Linked DNA regions of Rattus norvegicus. The protein of the gene in region 3 purifies or fractionates together with the protein of the main gene of each other region. This does not show direct contact. Links are inferred from orthologs where the notes say so. Each region holds a gene or a part of one and is shown on either strand. Other genes may lie near its edges. The genes, in order: Thoc1, Thoc7 and Ncbp3.

Evidence for each region.
Region 1: the proteins of Ncbp3 (region 3) and Thoc1 purify together in Homo sapiens (co-immunoprecipitation; 4 studies listed by BioGRID and IntAct, with this or other methods). This does not show direct contact. The link is inferred for Rattus norvegicus from reciprocal best matches to the Homo sapiens genes NCBP3 and THOC1.
Region 2: the proteins of Ncbp3 (region 3) and Thoc7 purify together in Homo sapiens (co-immunoprecipitation; 3 studies listed by BioGRID and IntAct, with this or other methods). This does not show direct contact. The link is inferred for Rattus norvegicus from reciprocal best matches to the Homo sapiens genes NCBP3 and THOC7.

The regions. Positions count from the first base shown.
Region 1 is NC_086036.1:1,288,677-1,292,625, forward strand, and holds the end of Thoc1 (THO complex subunit 1), read left to right. Parts: exon of another isoform or gene 1-859; intron 860-867; coding exon 868-1,015; intron 1,016-1,532; coding exon 1,533-1,608; intron 1,609-1,962; coding exon 1,963-2,258; 3' UTR 2,259-3,280; downstream 3,281-3,949. UniProt on the Homo sapiens protein: Component of the THO subcomplex of the TREX complex which is thought to couple mRNA transcription, processing and nuclear export, and which specifically associates with spliced mRNA and not with unspliced pre-mRNA.
Region 2 is NC_086033.1:13,702,411-13,706,326, forward strand, and holds part of Thoc7 (THO complex subunit 7 homolog), read left to right. Parts: intron 1-617; coding exon 618-745; intron 746-1,003; coding exon 1,004-1,090; intron 1,091-2,466; coding exon 2,467-2,524; intron 2,525-3,355; coding exon 3,356-3,422; intron 3,423-3,511; coding exon 3,512-3,581; intron 3,582-3,916. UniProt on the Homo sapiens protein: Component of the THO subcomplex of the TREX complex which is thought to couple mRNA transcription, processing and nuclear export, and which specifically associates with spliced mRNA and not with unspliced pre-mRNA.
Region 3 is NC_086028.1:58,166,257-58,171,306, reverse strand, and holds part of Ncbp3 (nuclear cap-binding protein subunit 3), read right to left. Parts: intron 2,051-5,050; coding exon 1,945-2,050; intron 1-1,944. UniProt on the Homo sapiens protein: Associates with NCBP1/CBP80 to form an alternative cap-binding complex (CBC) which plays a key role in mRNA export. NCBP3 serves as adapter protein linking the capped RNAs (m7GpppG-capped RNA) to NCBP1/CBP80.

The DNA.
Region 1 (3,949 bases), on a different chromosome or scaffold from region 3:
TGAATGTTTGTTCTCTACAACTGTCTCTCCCTGCTAACCAGTTTAGTTTTTGTCCTCCCTTCCTCACCCACCTCACTTTCTTTTCATCCCATCTACTTAATTGAGGCTGTGTTCCCTGTCACTCCACTGCAACAGCTCCCACAGTATTTTTTTCCTTTTAAGCTCCCAACAGCATCTGTTAGCAGACCTGTCTCAGTATTGGTAGAACCGCTCACACTAACCTTGCTGCCTTACTCAAAATTCCTGTGGTAACGTCTAAGAGGCAGTCTTTTATCTAAAGTGTCCCATGTGACAGCACAGTTTTAGTTTTTAGGAAGGTGTTCTGGAGTTGTGATTTAAAGGCAGAGGCCCTCCTGTCAGAATGCATAGGATTCCCCTCCCATGTACCACTTACTGGCCAGATATCTGGTTCTAACAAATGATCCCTGTGCCCCGTTTCTCATTTGCTACATAATAACCACTCATTTCACAGATTCCTTATTCAAAATACTTGAAGCTATATGTGTTTTCAGGTTTGTCCAGATTTGGAACATTTTAGACTCCAGCAGATAAGACAAACTAGACTTTGAGTCAAACAGGAGTGTGAAATAACCGAAGCTCACCTCTGGTGCCATACAATGTGGGACAGCTCACCAGTTGTCTCTCTCACTGTCTCCTTGCTTCTGTGTAACTGCATGAGTGGTTCTTTGTACAGTGTCTATCTAACAGCCAGGACATTGACTTGCTAAAATAAAGCAAAATATTATATAGACTTTCAAATTATAAGATGGTACACTTTGCTGTTATTTGCAATAGAACATAAATTTGTGACTCATTGTGTGAAAATAACTATGGAACTGGTTACAAGGCTGACATCTCTTCTTATAGAGCCGTAAATAATTCAAATTATGGATGGAGAGCTCTCAGACTCTTAGCCCGGAGAAGCCCTCACTTCTTCCAGCCAACTAACCAGCAGTTTAAGAGTCTGCCAGAGTATCTTGAAAACATGGTGATAAAGCTAGCCAAGGAACTACCAGTAAGTGATGTACTTCATTTTCCCCATTTCCTTACTAGATATTATCTCCTTTAAAACTATTATCATTATTTGAGCAGAATTCAGTTTAGGTTTTCCTACAAAATTAGTTGTCTGCAGACCCCCATGTTTTAGAATGGGAGCAAGGATGTTGTTGAATTTACAGAGAAAAAGTAAAACATAGAGATATCGGTAATTTTCTGTGCAGTATGCAATTTACCCAAAGTACTACTATTTTCAGTAAACTAGATCAGATTTTCCTCTTTACTAGTGTTTTACTGTCTTTTGTCAAAAGCAGGATCTAAGAGTAACAGAAGGTCACCTGGCAGAGCCTTCCCCACTGTTTCCTTACAGTATGGTAATGGTGGACATGGTCAATCCCTGTCACCCCTTAGACAGAACTGCCTTAAAGCTTAGGTGTTTGCAAACCTGCCTGCCCATGCTTCTCACTCTTTCTACCTAAGATCTTTTATCTTCAGAAACTGAAGTTCTTTTAAACATTGTTCTTCATTTACTATAGCCCCCTTCTGAAGAAATAAAAACAGGTGAGGATGAAGATGAGGAAGATAATGATGCTTTACTAAAGGAAAATGAAAGTAAGAATTGAATTTTTTTGGCTGTTTTACAAAATTGGAAAAGACTGGGGGATCTTTGTTATTTAATTTGATTTACTTCTCAGTTCTACCATTTTATCTTACTTTTGACTTAAAATAAGTTAAAAACATTGGTCACTTAAAGTCCATTTTATAGAATGAAATTTGGAGATGATAATTTTAAAAGGCAAAGAAGATGGGTGCTTTAAAAGGATGTATACAGTCTATGGAAATTTTCAAGTTTTAAAGTTTTAGGGGATTAGTAACCCACTGGTAATTCTAGCTTTGCTGTTCTTTCCGATATTTTAAATGCACATCTCTATATTTTGCACATAATTTATATCCCCTGTTTTCTAGGTCCTGATGTTCGGCGAGATAAACCTCTAACAGGGGAACAGATAGAGTCATTTGCCAACAAACTTGGTGAGCAGTGGAAGATTTTGGCTCCTTACCTGGAAATTAAAGACTCTGACATTAGGCAGATTGAATGTGACAGTGAGGACATGAAGATGAGAGCCAAACAGCTCCTTGTTGCCTGGCAAGATCAAGAAGGAGTTCACGCAACAACTGATAACCTGATTGGTGCACTGAACAAGTCTGGGTTAAGTGACCTTGCAGAAAGTCTAACTAATGACACTGAAACAAACAGTTAGCTTTCTTTCTTTCTCTCCTTTTTTATTGAACAGTGATTAAGATTTTGTTACCAAGCAGCATTTGATAAAAGGTTCACTGGTTTTGGTAAACAATAAACACTTTTATAACAGCTGTTGTACAGTTAGCTGGTGCTCAAAAAACCACATACCGAACAGGCATTGGAGTATAGGAGGACAGGGTGGGAAAATGGCCAAAGTAAAAGGACCACAAGATCACAGACGACTTTTTGTAAGTATTTTTATAATGAAGTTAAATGAGTACTATTTATGAGTATGTTAGAGTCCTGTCCCAAATTAGTTTCCTGCATGCTATCAGTTATAAAATGTATTCTGAAATCACAAGATGACACTTCTGAAACCTTAGGACTGGAAAGCTGGAAAGCAGAGGATTGGCAAAGGATGGATAGTTTAAGTGTTTTACTGGCAGTCTGCCATGTTTACTCTACTACAGCAAGAGTCCAGACTGATAGCCAGGGGCCCTGCAAACCATTTGCTGTTTGGCCAATACAGAAAATGTTTGCTAGCCTCTAACTTTATGTGAAGTGGAGTCTAAGACCCAACTACTCCTTTAGCTTTATAAAGATTACTTGACATCCTCAAGTCTCTAAACACCCAGGGATTCCTGTCAGTTGACTTGTGAAAATACACTGTATGTAGCAGAGCATGTGCGGTGCTGGCTGAAGGTTCATGTTCTGTTCCCATACAACATTTCCTGTGGGTGTTTGGTGTCTGGTGAAGGTTAAAAGTGTCCTTGCCTGGACCATGCACACTCCACTAGCTGGGGAAGCAGTGGCTGCGCACAGCTCCAGCTTCCTGGTACCCTCTGCACTAAGCAAATTAAGGCATGCTCAGGAACTGAAAGGGAGAATGGATTTTTTGCCTCTTCTCTCTTACATTCAAGGATGCATTCTAAAATACTAAACACCTTATTTAAAACAACACTGGAAATCCAATTTCTACTTTAAAGAATTCTCTTTGGAATGCTTTTCTAGGTCAAATAAACTATCGAGAAGCTTTTTGTATAATAGTTTTTAATTCTCAGTGCACTCTAAACATGGTTTTGGTGTATTTGTTGTAAACCCACCTCACCTGGTTTAGTGGGAAAACACAGGTGCCAAGTTACTTCCTTCTCCAACTAGCCAATGAGACTGAGTAAAACCATTACAGTACACATTCCATGTAAGTTAGCAAACTTTACAAACCTGAAATGCTGGCTTACCCACAGTGTTACAGAGTTATTATCTAATAAAAATCTTGGGTACTTTACAGAGCATTAGAACATATAGTCCAAAATGTCATAATATTCCCAAAATTTTATTATTAATCAACTCAAATCGACCAACTTGCTACAATATTCAACATTTGGTCCTTTCCTTAGATTGCTAAGGAAATTAAGGTTCCTGAAACATAAACAACAGGTATGTGAGGTAATGAAACTGATCACAGAATTCAGTGTCCAAAGGAATTCATCACTTTTACAACTTTGTGTTTCTTTTGAAATAACACTGGCCAACCTAAAGTTTCTTGTATTTTAAATGGATGTTTAACTGCTTAGATTATTAGCTATTTGCAGAAACTGTATAGTATTGAATTCATCTGACTCTTCAGCCAAGCTCTAATACTAAAAAGAGACCAGGTCAAAAGTTGTTAATCCCTCTTTTTCCTTATTTTTAATTATTAAATATCCTTGG
Region 2 (3,916 bases), on a different chromosome or scaffold from region 3:
TGAACTCAGGACCTCTGGAAGAGCAGTCAGTGCTCTTAACCACTGAGCCATCTCTCCAGCCCCCAGTAGCCACTTCTTAACTGATCAGAAGTTTGTTTGCTTTTTTATTTTTTGGTTTTTTTTCGGTCCTTCTCTTTGGAGGTCTCCTTTATGTTTGTATAATACGCAGAAAGGACATTAGTAAAGGAAGAAGTAAAGATCAAACTCAGCTGTAATAATTTGATTACTTTTAGCAAATCAGTATTTGCTAAGTATCTCTAAATGTTTTTTCTTTGCTAATAAGTAAATATATAAGTTGCTGTAAAATAATAATCACATGCTAATTTATGAAATTTTGCTGGATTTACTTTCTGCTTAAGTATGAAAGTTGTGAGAACAAAATTCTGATGAAACTCTATTGTTAGGGATGATTTAAGATGCAGACACATAATTTTGATAAGATGAGGACAGTAGTCTCATTCTGCCTTTGTAACCAGAATAACTTATAAATTCACGTACACCATGTCTAGCAAAGAAAATGGTAAGGGTGGATATTCTAAGCTATTTCAGTTAAATAATTCGGTCAGAACTTTGTTTAGTTTACGATTTCTTTTTCTTCTCTTTCTCTCTCTCGTTAGATACAGCCAGTACCAGCGGATGCTGAGCACGCTGTCTCAGTGTGAGTTCTCAATGGGCAAAACGCTGCTGGTGTATGATATGAACCTCAGAGAAATGGAAAACTATGAAAAAATATACAAAGAAATAGGTAAACATAGTGCTTCTTTCTAGAATTGTATTTTTGCAGTTTAAAGGAAAAGCTGATAGCAGTATGTAGATTGTAGTAAGATACTGTCAGTAATTACAGTGGTAAAGAATCTACCATCTACAGCCACAGTGTCATGTAGTAAGACAGCACTTTGTGTTGTAGATATTTTTAGAATGTCATCGTCTGTTGTGTTGTCAGTGGAATGTCTACTTAAAAGCAGACATTATACGTCTTATTATAACTACCGTTTTTTAATAGAATGCAGTATTGCTGGAGCACATGAAAAAATTGCTGAGTGTAAAAAGCAGATTCTTCAGGCAAAACGAATACGAAAAAATCGACAAGGTAAGGATTTGAAGGACTTGGGTTGCAGATATTTTATTCCTAACTTCAGGTTCCATGAAATTTTTAATATTGAAAGGCAAAATCTGCACCGTGAATCAGTTTACAAAAAAATAATTAACAATTACACTTATTCTTAACACTGTTACTTAAAATAGAGAACACAAGATATGCTGAAAAATATTTTGCTGAGTTTTATTATTTATCCAAGAAATCTTCAGTATTTTTTACTATCTTCAGATCCTTTTCCCTAAGCAGTAGTACAGTTAGTCTGCAAATGTGAACTCTATGACAGACTGAGGTATTTATTTGCTAGTTTAATAAAGCTACTTTCAAGAAAAAGGAAAAGAATTTTAACCCTTCATTATTCATAAAGCAAACAAGCGTTATCCACATAATTCCCTAATAGCAAAGTTAAAGTCAAGGTCAGCCAGGTGGCCCAGTGGGTGGAGCCCTTGCCACCAAGCCTGCCGCCCACCAGCCTAGGACCTACATGGTAGGAGAGGAGTGAGTCCCTTGTGCCATCGCCCTCCCACACCCATAGGTATTCAAAAATAAAATAAGTGTAAACACTTTAAACACAGAAGTAACGTTTAGTCTTATTCTAATCTCTTAGGTTATCCTTCACTTGGTGTCCTATCTGGCTATCTGAAAGAACTTTAGTTTTATATGTGTGTCTGTATACAGCTGAGTGTAGGTGCCCACGGAGGCCATAATTGGCCCTGTTATCCCTGGAGTTAAGGCAACTGTAAACTACATGAGTGCTGGAGACTGAATTGGGGTTCTGTGAAACATTAGTATATGCTCTTAAGTGCTGAGCCATTTCTCTAGCCCTGGAAATTATTTTTAATACTAGGCTCTTCCCATTACATAAATTGGAAAAGGTAAGATAAAAGCAATGTTTAAAGTGTTGGCAGTGCTCTCATAATTCTTGGCCTTTTCTTGGTTTTTTTTTTTTTTTTTTGTTTGTTTGTTTTGTTTTGGTTTGGTTCTTTTTTTTTTTTTTTTTTTTTCCGGAGCTGGGGACCGAACCCAGGGCCTTGTGCTTCCTAGGTAAGCGCTCTACCACTGAGCTAAATCCCCAGCCCCTTTGGTTTGGTTTGGTTTTGGTCTTATTCAAGACGGATTTCTCTGTGTAATAGCCCCAGCTGTCCTGGAACTTGCTATTTATACCAGGCTAGCCTGGAGTAAAAAGGGATCTACTGGCCTTGGTTTCTGCCTCTGCCTCCCAAGTGCAGGGATCAAAGATATGTACTACCACATTATTGTCATTTCTTTAAGAAAGTGAATAAGAGTTATTTTCATTTACACATTTCTTTTTGATAATCCAGATTCAAAAAAAAATGCCTTAATTTGGCAAATATTTTCTTGTCTTTCAGAATATGACGCTTTGGCCAAAGTTATCCAGCATCATCCGGACAGGCATGAGACACTGAAGTGAGTATAGAGCTTATAGGGAGCTGGCTGTTATACAAAATGGTGAAGAGCTATGCCTCACACTAACTACCTGCTCAGATAAACAGAGTATACCCAAAGGAAAGGTCATTGTTTAGTATCACAGGGTCTTACACTGCCTGATGAAAGCCCTTGCTATCTCCAGGGTCACTACCTATTGGTTCAGAATAGATGTGTAGTATGTCCCCAAAGGAAATGGAGATGTACGCTTTAATCTATTAACAGAATACTGAATACCAATAAAGACTATGCTACACACTAAAACAGCTGAAAAACATGCAAACAGTAAAAAAAAAAAGAACTTTAAACCATTTCTGAAACATTTATGAAAGTTAAAAATTCCCTCTCAAATATTCTATACTAATACTGTATATTATTCAGAGATACAAATAGGTGTATCTAAAAGAAATTATGTAATTATATTTTTGTTATTATAAAATTTGCATCTATAGTACAATTTAGGAGCTAAGAAATCATCCAGTTACAAAATCTTGCCACAGGGTTATTGGATTCCTTTTTTATGGATGTTATGCATGCATATCTATGTACCACTTGCACACCGGGTGCCTGTAGCAGCTAGAAGAGGGCATCAGATCTCTGTGACTAGAATTACAGACACGGTCGTGAGCCACTGTTTGTGAACTAGGAATAGAACCTGGGTCTTCTGAAACAGGAGCAAGTGCTCTTAACTGCCCAGCCATCTCTCAAAACCCTTTTTATTTTCAGATTATTATTTAGTGGCCCAAATACTATATAAGTTTTCCCCCAAAGTAGCGAAATATAACATTGTTTTGTTTTATTTTGTTCCCTCAGGGAGCTAGAGGCTCTGGGCAAAGAATTAGAGCATCTCTCGCATATTAAAGAAAGTGTTGAAGATAAGGTATTTGAATATATATGTTAGCCTCTACGTGTGTGTATGTGTGTGTGTTTAGAGATAAACTTATATAAGTTGTTTTCTTCTTAACACAGCTGGAATTGAGACGGAAACAATTTCACGTTCTTCTTAGTACCATCCATGAACTTCAACAGACATTGGAGAGTAAGTAAAACCATTCAAAATTGCAGCTTCAGAAGACTTTAAATGACTGGGGAGTGCTTTGGTGAGAGAGTCTGCCTCCAGAATCCAGTGCTATATCTGGATGGCATTAGAAAACACTCTCTGTTCAACTTTCTGTATACAAACAGAAGAGCAGTGATTCTGTGGTAATCTGTGCTTTGCATGCATGTCTACTAATAAGAAAACTTCAAGAGTGATGGGGAGTGTTTCCTGACTAATGATTCAGGACACGTGCAAACTACTGTAAGTTGTTGGTATATTAGGCTGCCTACATGCTCAGCAAATGGGGGGCCCACCGAGAAATTGAAGACTTGATC
Region 3 (5,050 bases):
CTGAGCACTTGGATTTTCTCATCAGTAAAATCCCTCAGGGGATCCCTAAGGGACAAATTAGCCACATAACAGAGCAACTGTAACTCAGTAAGCATTTAACAAGTGTTATTATTGTTGGTATTAATAAGAAAATGAATCAGTTGACACCTAATGTAGCTGTGGGTATGAAGAGACCTATTTCAACTTCCCTCTCTAAGTGGAAGGCTGGTCTGCTCAGGCGACTACTTAGAAGAATACCAGAAAACTAACATCTACTGGGTGCCTACTATGTGCGAAACACCAATCTAAGAGCTGCAACATTTCGTCAGACTCCTGACAGTTCTGTCTAATTTTGTCCAAGGTTACAGAGCTACAAAAAGAATTTGAATCCAGGAAAGTGGGCTTCAGAACCTTTGCTCAAAACCAATGGTTCCAAATCCTGTCCAATCCTGACTCCACATTAAATTACCCAGGAGTTACAAAAACAATAGTTACCTCTAGGGCTTATCCAACCCCATCTTCCCACGATTCTACCTTAAGTTCATCTGGGTGAGTAGCAGTGATTCAGGAGCATTGGTTAGGCCATCTTCCTAAGTCTTGTTTTCAGGCTGCACTATAGAATGAGCAATATTCCCCAACTGATGTCCAGGCAAACCTCCTGCTTTTTAAATGAAATACCTGCATAGCTGAGTATGGTGGCACACACCAATAAACTCAGAACTTAGGAGTCAGAGGCAGGAGGATCAGAGTTCATGATTAGCCTGGGCTACATGAGATTCTACCTAAATCAAAGACTTGGCAGAAACGTAAGATTTTGATTGCTTTCTATAAGCAATTGTTGACTAAAATCACACACAATAAAACAATGTTTTTAAAGTAAGGTTTAAGTCTTTAAAGTGAGACAGATATAGGTTAGACTCCTGAGTCTTTCATTAGCTCTGAGTAACTAATTAAACTTCTATAACCTGTTTCTTCCTTTGTAAAATAATTATTAAAAAATATACTCCTCAGAGGCTTGCGGTGAAAAACAAACATGTGCTTAACACAGTGCCGTAGGAAAGCACGTCCCTAGCAGACAGTAGCCATTTCCCCCATCCTGCAGGCTCAGGAGCTTCTGCTTTCATTGCCCAAGCATGACTAAGAGACTCACACAGCCCCGCCCCACAGGGCTTCCACATGCAGCAAGAAGGCTGCCTCCTGAGCCCTTTATAAACACCAGTATTTATAAGTACAACAGAGAGAGGCCTTTCGTATTCATGGATCTAGATAAGGCAATGAGAAGGATGTAGGCTCACTCAATCAAAGGCTCCCTTCTTCAAAAGTTGCTTTGCTAGTGAGTGTCATGGTGCACTCCTGAATTTTAGAACTTGGGAGGTAGAAGCAAGATCATCTTCAGTTTGAAATCAGTCTGGGCTACATGAGACACTGCCTCAAGCAAGCAAACAGAAAATTAGTAATTGGGCTGGGGATGTGGTGGCTTGACTTGATTAGCTTGAGTAAGTCTCAGAGTTACACCCAGCTGCACAAATAAACAAAAAACCCACCACTATCACTGCCTTGCTGTGAGTTGTAGGGAGTATTTTCTCTTTGAAAATAACTAATGGGAGGTTTATATGTACCATGTATCATTACCAACAAAAATCCCAGCTGCTCCAAGTGCCCTAAAAGACAGGTTCACAGTGAGACATGCACTTCCACTATTCTTCAAGGCAAAGAGAAGCTAACTAACATCACTATGATGAAAGCAGATGAGGAGGTCCAGAGGCAAGGATGCACATCTCACCTCTGACACAAGCCTCCCTAACAACTTCTTCTGTTCCACTGTTCTAGCTCTGAGAAAATCTGACAGCACCTCACCTTAACGCTTCTTCTTGGGTATTTTGAATGATGACTGGACACACAGAACAAAGCCAGAAACATGAAACGAAGGCACTCTTGGAACAGGATGAAAACATTTCACCTTACCTTTCTTCATCATGTCTCTGTCCAAGGCTACATTCCTCTGGGCAAGATTTACTTCTGCTCGAAAGTGGAAGCGTTTGGCTCGCTGTTCTTTCTTTTCAATTGCTTCCTAGAAAGTACAAAAAGAGGCAAAGAGATAAAGGGAGAATGAGGAAAGTTAAATCACAAACATGCTGCAACTTTCAAATAAATCAGAATAAATAAGTAACCTTGAATGTGTTTTGCAGAGAACTGGACATACGCAGTCTACAGTAAACCGGCTGAAATAGTCTCAATCCTATCACAGCCCATGACTGCACCCAGAACACAGGAGGTGGTCAAGAAGTCAGTGAGCACTGGTTTATAAAGTTTTCTGATATTTCATATACCACCGACAATCACACTAAGAAGTTAAAACAAATAACCTAACCTTTTCAATTTTCTTAGTGTAGAAATGGAGACAAAAGAAACTGGAAGGTTTGCAGGAAATATCTCCTCTAGCTAAGGGCAGAGCTGATCCAGTGCTATTTCTAGGAGCTCCACAACTACCATTATCATTTACATTGTCTGTGGGCATGGTAATCACACCTATTATGCTCTTCCACATTATGGATGCCTGAATGGTCCACTCCCTATAGCCACACCCCCATATAAAAATAACACCAGAGCAAAAATAGTCTCCTTTATTCCCGCCTTATGTGTATGAAATTGCCTCTTTTCATTCCTAAGTGACAAGGATGCATTAACACTGACAAAAAAAGAAAAAAAAATTCAGCTTTGTAAATTTCTTCCAAAAGTGAAAATAAATTCATGTCCAACTATGATCTTCTGATGGCTCTCAACAGCCCCTCAGCAACTGCGTACTGACTGAAGGTTTGACTAAAACCAGTTTATGGGTGTGAGGAAGCAGCCATGCTTCAGTTCTTTCCCAACAGTTATGCTCATCTGTGTCCCTGAAGTCTTCCTAGCATGAACCACAATCTCCTTTCCCAGCTTTTGTGTGTGTGCTTAGTGTGTGGGTAGGAATGTATGTGTGCATTTGAGGGTGGGGGAGCAGGTTGTCCTTAGTGCTGAGATTACAGGTGCAAACTTCTATGCATTTTGTTTTGCTTTGCTTTCACACGAGTGCTAGGGACCTGAACTCAGTTCTTATGCTTACACAGCAAGCACTTCACTGAGTCAGTAAATCTCCTAGCCAAATCCTTTTCCCGGGTACCTGTTTCAAGTATTAGGTTGAAAGCAGTCTACTTCTCCCCCCCCCAACCCCCCGGAGTTGGGGACGGAACCCAGGGCCTTGCGCTTGCTAGGCAAGCGCTCTACCACTGAGCTAAATCCCCAACCCTCAGCAGTCTACTTCTTAATGACACTGAGAACATTTCACTTTGTACTATTCTCTATTCCACTAGAAGATGTTCAGCTCTTTCTTCTGGCCTTTAAGTATCTGACACAAACTGAGAGGGAGAAATTATAAAAAGCCAAGTATAACATACTTACTTTTATTCTTGTTTTTAAAGATCTAATATATATATATTATCATTATATATATATATATATATTTTACATTTTAAATTGGGCCTGGAGAGATGGCTCAGCACTTAAAAGCACACGGGCTCTTACAGAGGACCAGGGTTCAGTTTCCAGCACCCACATGGTGTAGCTCACAACTGTCTGTAACTCCAGTTCCAGGGGATCTGATGCCCTCTTCTGACCTCCATAGGCACCAGGCAGGCACATGGTGCACATAACACACAGAGGCAAACACTGATATATACACAGAATAAAAAGTACAATTGAAATGGAAAATTCTGTTTTAAACTGAACAGCACACATTTAAATCATGAAGAAAGAAAAAGTCTGAATGAACTGAATTAAAGCAACGTATGGACAATTTATCACATGGGAACTAAGAGGCTTCACTCTGAGGTATGATAATGGAGGTGGTACAATGGTAACGCAATCACTTAGCAAAAGACAATATTGTCAGATGCTGGGGATAATCAGTCGGCATGGCCCTCAAAGCTTAGACATGCAGACAACTTCTAACCATTTTTCTAAGTTGGAAAGCAGTGTTTCCACAGATATACATTAATGGCTTTAAGCATCCCCGAGGCCAGGGGCATAGCATGACTGTGGTTGTGCTTGCCAGGTAAGCCTAACAACCTGAATGAGATTCCCAGTACCATGTAAAAGTCCGACCCTGCAGCATTTGTCTGTAATTTCTACATTCTTAGAGACAGGAGACAGAGATGAGAGAACACCTCAAAAACAAGGTAGGAGGGGGAATGGAGAGATAGTTCAGCAGTTACAATCACTGTCTGTTCTTACAGAGATCCAGGTTTGGTTCCCAATACCCACAGGGCAGCTCCCAACTATCTGAAACTCCAGTCCAAACGGATCTGAAGTCCTCTCCTGAGCTCCTCACATCCTAGTTCTGAATGTGGTACACTTAATACATACAGGCAAATGCTCATACACAAATTTAAAAATATTATCAATAATACTACTACCAGCAAAAAAAAAAAAAAGTCAGATGTAGTGGCATATGCTTTTGATCCTAGCACCTGAAATGCACAGGCAGGTGTACCTCTGTGGGTTTGAGACCAGCCTGGTCTACATAGTGAGTTCCAGGACAGCCAAGGCTATGCAGAGAGATCTTGCCTCAAATAAAACAAAAACAAAAAACAAACAAACAAAAAAGATGATAGGTAAGAACCAACACCTGATGTTGTTCTCTGACTTCACATGTGTTACAGCATGCACACTTTGACACAAAACACACACATCCATCCTACATAACAAGTGAATGTTAAATAATAAATATTAAAATAAGCATTCCCAGTGCAAACTCTTTCTTGGAAATGGTTAGCACAGACAACTAAGTTCAGTGATTATCTTTTCATGGATATGTGCACACACAAATGCTGCCTGAACGGTCTCAGGATATATAAGGACATCGTTGGGCAGACAGATGTAGATATTTGACATTATGAGATATGTGTATCATAGATAGATGAGATACATATCAGCAACAAAAGAAAAAAATGAGGCAAAAATATTTACCATTGTGTAAAAGGTAAAGACCACATTCACTAATTCTATCTGCTTATCAACCTGAATAATCACCGTCTGT